2 linked regions of the Xenopus tropicalis genome follow. The protein of the gene in region 1 interacts with the protein of each later gene in a pairwise test. Links are inferred from orthologs where the notes say so. Each region holds a gene or a part of one and is shown in the gene's direction. Other genes may lie near its edges.

Region 1 (3,500 bases):
CTACGGGGAGGGGGATCTGCAGTTACAGTCGGCTCAGTAATTGGCTACGGGGAGGGGGATCTGCAGTTACAGTCGGCTCAGTAATTGGCTACGGGGAGGGGGATCTGCAGTTACAGTCGGCTCAGTAATTGGCTACGGTGAGGGGGATCTGCAGTTACAGTCGGCTCAGTAATTGGCTACGAGGAGGGGGATCTGCAGTATCTGTGGGGGTTGGTTTCCGTGAGGAAACGCTGAGGACTGACGTTCCGCCATCTTGTCCCTCCCCTGCGCAGTGTGAGGATCGGAAGGTGGAGACTCTACATTGGGCGCTCAGAGCGGCCGGAGAAGAAACCCGCGGCTCCTTCCCTCGCTCCATCACCCTCTCCCTCTATTCCTCCAGCTCCTTCATTGGCTTCTTTATCAGCGAGGCCCAGGCCTCCATCATCCGCAGCTTCATGGGCAGCTTCTCTGAGGAGGTGGCAAAGGGGGCAGGTAAGGCCTTTGGGGGCACATCTTGCCCTTCCTGGTACCACTGGGGCCTGAGGGACCCATTTATTGGTAGAACAATGTTACCCCCTCTGGGGGCTTTTATCTTCTGCTCTGAGAGTCAATACAACAAAGTCATGGATTTCCTGCCATAAAGTGATACTGAGTGGCTAATTCCCTGCCAGACAGGAAGTAGAGACATGTGAGTCGCAGGAAATACATTCCCCTGTGCTATTGGTTATCACTCCGGGGAGTCAATGAATTCCGTTGTGGGGGAGGGAGGGGGGGTGGGAAGGGTACGGTTATTAGTGGTTTCAGCGCAGAATGTCAATAGTTAAATTATTCCCAGCAGCCAATAGGGATTATTCTCTGATCCCACTCAGCTGACGCTCTTTCTACTTCAGACTGTCCGGTGAGACCGCTCTCCAAGCAGCTGCACCTCACTCTCGCTCACAAGTTCTCGCCCCACCACCAGGGGACACTAGAGCACTTGGCCAAGTCCATCAGCCCCGCCCAGAGCTGTGAGTGGGAGGCGGTCCTTTTCTCCAGAGACATGCGATTTGCTTACTATCAGGTATTTGGGGCAGGGGGAGGGGCAAGGGGTAAGTTCAGAAGGGGTGGGGGCATTGGAGGGCAGGAGTCAGGATTTGGGGCAATTCCTAGGCAATTACAGGGAATTACAGATTGTGAGCTCTTCTGCACACTGTTGCCCCCCAGCAGTGCCAGGAAGTAGGTGTAACTCTCCAAAAAAAAAGGAAAGTCAGGAAAGGGCACTGGGCCCAAATGCATTTTGCTGCCCCCTGTTGGAACTGCGCCGTGGGTGGGGGAGTCGGGGGGCTCAATAGGTTTGGGGGGAACCGTCTCTGTTTCCCATGAAAAAAGAAAAAAAAATAGTTCAGTAACCCCTGGCCCCGCCCATGACTAGAGTATTTCCATCACCCTGGCAACAGGATACCCTGGGGCTCATTCCCTAATATGGGGTATCAGCCCCAGGGCATGCTGGGACATGGGGACAATACGGCCTCTCTTGTGTCCCCCCCAGACCCTGCGCACTCTCTTCCCATTTGAACCACAGAATCCCGATGAGCTGACACTCACGGAGGGGGATATTGTGTTCGTCGATCGGACCCGAGTGTCGGGGGCGCCAGAGGGATGGGTAATGGCCGTGTCCAACCGAACCGGCTGTCATGGGCTGGTACCGGAGAATTACCTGGAGAATGTGCCCGAGACTCAGACTTGGACCCAGCACCGGTACCAGGGGCACCAAGTGGGGTTATCGGGGAGACAAGGGAGCTTACAATCTAATTTCCTTTCTATGGGCACTCACTCACAGACACACACTCACTCATAGGCACTCACTTACACTCACTCTCAGACACACTTACACACTCACTCTCTCTCATACTCAATCACACTCACTCACAGACACACTCACTCATACTCAATCACACTCACTCACTCACAGACACACACTCACTCATACTCAATCACACTCACTCACTCACAGACACACACTCACTCATACTCAATCACACTCACTCACTCACAGACACACACTCACTCATACTCAATCACACTCACTCACAGACATACACACTCATACTCAATCACACTCACTCACAGACACTCACTCATACTCAATCACACTCACTCACAGACATACACACTCATACTCAATAACACTCACTCACAGACATACACACTCATACTCAATCACACTCACTCATACTCAATCACACTCACAGGCACACACTCACTCATACTCAATCACACTCACTCACAGACACACACTCACTCATACTACATCACACTCACTCACAGACACACACTCACTCATACTACATCACACTCACTCACAGACACACACTCACTCATACTCAATCACACTCACTCACAGACACACACTCACTCATACTCAATCACACTCACTCACAGACACACACTAACTGATACTCAATCACACTCACTCACAGACAAACACTCACTCATACTACATCATACTCACACACACTCACTCATACTACATCATACTCACACACACTCACTCATACTACATCACACTCACAGACACACACTCACTCATACTCAATCACACTCACTCATACTCAATCACACTCACTCACTCACTCACTCACAGACACACACTCACTCATACTACATCACACTCACTCACAGACACACACTCACTCATACTACATCACACTCACTCACAGACACACACTCACTCATACTACATCACACTCACTCACAGACACACACTCACTCATACTCAATCACACTCACTCACAGACACACACTAACTGATACTCAATCACACTCACTCACAGACAAACACTCACTCATACTACATCATACTCACACACACTCACTCATACTACATCACACTCACAGACACACACTCACTCATACTCAATCACACTCACTCACAGACACACACTCACTCATACTCAATCACACTCACTCACAGACACACACTCACTCATACTACATCACACTCACTCACTCACTCATAGACACTCACTCACAGACACACTTACACACTCTCCCACTCATAGACTCACACTCACAGGCATACACTCACTCACACTCAGACACACTCATTCTCACTCACACACTCATTCTCATTCTCTCGCTCAAATACTCAATCACACTCACTCACAGACACACACTCACTCTCAAACACACACTCACACACTCACTCAAATACTCAATCGCATTTACTTACAGGCACACACTCACTCTCAAACACACACTCACTCACAGACACACACTCTCAAATGCACACTCTCACTCATAGACACTAACTCACACTCACAGCCACACACTCACTCACACTCACACACTCACACACACACACACACTCACTCACACACTCACTCACACTCTCTCACAGGCACTTTAAGAGGAAATGGGGGCCAATGTGGGACACATAGCACCATGGGAGAAATAAGACTTTGTGCCCCTCCCCTCCATATTACCCAGAATCCCTGCCTGCACAGGAGCAATGGGGGCTCTGTAGGGCCCCTGTCACTTGT
Region 2 (4,280 bases), on another chromosome or scaffold:
CCATCAGCCCCTGCCCCAGTGAGCTTACAATCTAAGGGCCCTATCCCATTCCCATCAGCCCCTGCCCCAGTGAGCTTACAATCTAAGGTCCCTATCCCATTCCCATCAGCCCCTGCCCCAGTGAGCTTACAATCTAAGGTCCCTATCCCATTCCCATCAGTCCCTGCCCCAGTGAGCTTACAATCTAAGGTCCCTATCACATTCCCATCAGTCCCTGCCCCAGTGAGCTTACAATCTAAGGTCCCTATCCCATTCCCATCAGCCCCTTGCCCCAGTGAGCTTACAATCTAAGGTCCCTATCCCATTCCCATCAGCCCCTGCCCCAGTGAGCTTACAATCTAAGGCCCCTATACCATTCCCATCAGTCCCTGCCCCAGTGAGCTTACAATCTAAGGCCCCATACCATTCCCATCAGCCCCTGCCCCAGTGAGCTTACAATCTAAGGTCCCTATCCCATTCCCATCAGCCCCTGCCCCAGTGAGCTTACAATCTAAGGCCCCTATACCATTCCCATCAGCCCCTGCCCCAGTGAGCTTACAATCTAAGGTCCCTATCCCATTCCCATCAGTCCCTGCCCCAGTGAGCTTACAATCTAAGGTCCCTATCCCATTCCCATCAGTCCCTGCCCCAGTGAGCTTACAATCTAAGGTCCCTATCCCATTCCCATCAGTCCCTGCCCCAGTGAGCTTACAATCTAAGGTCCCCATCACATTCCCCTCAGTCCCAGTGAGCTTACAATTCAATGTAACCAGTTGTACCTATGGAGTGCAGTATATATTTCATATCCATGGTACTTACCCTTTGCCCCCTGGGCTGGGGTGATGCAGGGATGGGGGGAACACAATGGCCGTTACAGACGAGATGCAGGGAGTCTGGATGCACCTGGGGTGTCTCCTTTTCTCACCATTCTGACCTTACAGGGAGAGAGAAGACATGTTGGTGCCGGGGCTACACAAGCAGTAGGGCAGCTCCCACCTCTCATACTATTCAGACTCATGAACTGTAGAACCCCCCCCCCCCCCCACCTTCCATTTCCCTCAAATTCTCTTCCCAGTTCTACTCCCCAAATCCTGCCCCCCCTGCACTCCCGTCCCACAAGTCCTAGGGTGCCCCTGGGTACCCCTGTGTCCTTCCCTACTCACCTCCCGTCACAGGCCTGAGCAGCTCATCGCTACCCCATTAATCGTACGTTTTGCCCTTTCATGCTGTTTGGTCCCTGCCGCTTTCTGTTTTTAGTAGATCTTATCCAGGGGGGCGGGCACTAATCGCCTGGAGATACAGTGATTGGCTAATTTAATAGATGAGCAGGAAGATACTGTGAGCGAATATCCGCTACAAGAGGGCTTTGCGCTGTAGGGAGCCGGACCTCTAGCAGCGAAACGTCTGTGAAATACAGTTTTCCAGTCGGAATTATATTCAGGGCGGCCCTTTGCACCGGAAGTGACGTCCTTGACAGGTTCTCAGAAGGCATGCGCGTAGCGTCACCTGCGGTTTCAGCTGAGTTTGGCTTCACTGACGGGACCAGGGCGGAAACGGAAGGGCTGGGAGCTCTGGGACCGAATCTGCCGCTTGTGGGGTGACAGGGTAAGTACGGGCAATGGCTGGCACCCTCACTCACTGGCACCCTCACTCACTGGCACCCTCACTCACTCACTCACTCACCGGCACCCTCACTCCTACATACACTCACTGACTGACTGGCACCCTCACTCCTACATACACTCACTCACTGACTGGCACCCTCACTCTTACATACACTCACTCACTGACTGGCACCCTCCCTCTTACATACACTCACTGACTGACTGGCACCCTCACTCCTACACTCACTCACTGACTGACTGGCACCCTCCCTCTTACATACACTCACTCACTGACTGGCACCCTCACTCCTACATACACTCACTCACTGACTGGCACCCTCCCTCTTACATACACTCACTCACTGACTGGCACCCTCACTCCTACATACACTCACTCACTGACTGGCACCCTCCCTCTTACATACACTCACTCACTGACTGGCACCCTCACTCCTACATACACTCACTCACTGACTGGCACCCTCACTCCTACATACACTCACTGACTGACTGGCACCCTCACTCCTACATACACTCACTCACTGACTGGCACCCTCCCTCTTACATACACTCACTCACTGACTGGCACCCTCCCTCTTACATACACTCACTCACTGACTGGCACCCTCACTCCTACATACACTCACTCACTGACTGGCACCCTCCCTCTTACATACACTCACTGACTGACTGGCACCCTCACTCCTACATACACTCACTGACTGACTGGCACCCTCCCTCTTACATACACTCACTGACTGACTGGCACCCTCACTCCTACATACACTCACTGACTGACTGGCACCCTCACTCACTGACTGGCACCCTCCCTCTTACATACACTCACTCACTGACTGGCACCCTCCCTCTTACATACACTCACTGACTGACTGGCACCCTCACTCCTACATACACTCACTCACTGACTGGCACCCTCACTCCTACATACACTCACTGACTGACTGGCACCCTCACTCCTACATACACTCACTCACTGACTGGCACCCTCACTCCTACATACACTCACTGACTGACTGGCACCCTCACTCCTACATACACTCACTGACTGACTGGCACCCTCACTCCTACATACACTCACTGACTGACTGGCACCCTCACTCCTACATACACTCACTGACTGACTGGCACCCTCACTCCTACATACACTCACTCACTGACTGGCACCCTCACTCCTACATACACTCACTCACTGACTGGTACCCTCACTCCTACATACACTCACTCACTGACTGGCACCCTCACTCCTACATACACTCACTCACTGACTGGCACCCTCACTCCTACATACACTCACTCACTGACTGGCACCCTCACTCCTACATACACTCACTCACTGACTGGCACCCTCACTCCTACATACACTCACTGACTGACTGGCACCCTCACTCCTACATACACTCACTGACTGACTGGCACCCTCACTCCTACATACACTCACTCACTGACTGGCACCCTCACTCCTACATACACTCACTGACTGACTGGCACCCTCACTCCTACATACACTCACTGACTGACTGGCACCCTCACTCCTACATACACTCACTGACTGACTGGCACCCTCACTCACTCACTGGGCACCCTCACTCTTACATACACTCACTCACTGACTGGCACCCTCCCTCTTACATACACTCACTCACTGACTGGCACCCTCACTCTTACATACACTCACTCACTGACTGGCACCCTCACTCCTACATACACTCACTGACTGACTGGCACCCTCCCTCTTACATACACTCACTGACTGACTGGCACCCTCACTCCTACATACACTCACTCACTGACTGACTGGCACCCTCACTCCTACATACACTCACTGACTGACTGGCACCCTCACTCCTACATACACTCACTGACTGACTGGCACCCTCACTCCTACATACACTCACTGACTGACTGGCACCCTCACTCACTCACTGGCACCCTCACTCTTACATACACTCACTCACTGACTGGCACCCTCCCTCTTACATACACTCACTGACTGACTGGCACCCTCACTCTTACATACACTCACTCACTGACTGGCACCCTCACTCCTACATACACTCACTGACTGACTGGCACCCTCCCTCTTACATACACTCACTGACTGACTGGCACCCTCACTCCTACATACACTCACTGACTGACTGGCACCCTCCCTCTTACATACACTCACTCACTGACTGGCACCCTCACTCCTACATACACTCACTGACTGACTGGCACCCTCACTCACTCACTGGCACCCTCACTCTTACATACACTCACTCACTGACTGGCACCCTCCCTCTTACATACACTCACTCACTGACTGGCACCCTCACTCTTACATACACTCACTGACTGACTGGCACCCTCACTCCTACATACACTCACTGACTGACTGGCACCCTCACTCTTACATACACTCACTGACTGACTGGCACCCTCCCTCTTACATACACTCACTGACTGACTGGCACCCTCCCTCTTACATACACTCACTCACTGACTGGCACCCTCACTCCTACATACACTCACTCACTGACTGGCACCCTCCCTCTTACATACGCTCACTCACTGACTGGCACCCTCACTCCTACATACACTCACTGACTGACTGGCACCCTCACTCCTACATACACTCACTGACTGACTGGCACCCTCACTCTTACATACACTCACTCACTGACTGGCACCCTCACT

The links. The genes of interacting proteins can lie anywhere in the genome.
Region 2: the proteins of ubash3a (region 1) and fgfr1op2 interact in binary tests that used the Homo sapiens proteins (3 or more experiments, as listed by UniProt). The link is inferred for Xenopus tropicalis from reciprocal best matches to the Homo sapiens genes UBASH3A and FGFR1OP2.

Annotation. Positions count from the first base shown.
Region 1 is NC_030678.2:150,459-153,958, forward strand, and holds part of ubash3a (ubiquitin-associated and SH3 domain-containing protein A), read left to right. Parts: intron 1-272; coding exon 273-471; intron 472-869; coding exon 870-1,039; intron 1,040-1,507; coding exon 1,508-1,716; intron 1,717-3,500. UniProt on the Homo sapiens protein: Interferes with CBL-mediated down-regulation and degradation of receptor-type tyrosine kinases. Promotes accumulation of activated target receptors, such as T-cell receptors, EGFR and PDGFRB, on the cell surface.
Region 2 is NC_030679.2:2,582,704-2,586,983, forward strand, and holds the start of fgfr1op2 (FGFR1 oncogene partner 2 homolog), read left to right. Parts: upstream 1-1,480; 5' UTR 1,481-1,584; intron 1,585-4,280. UniProt on the Homo sapiens protein: May be involved in wound healing pathway.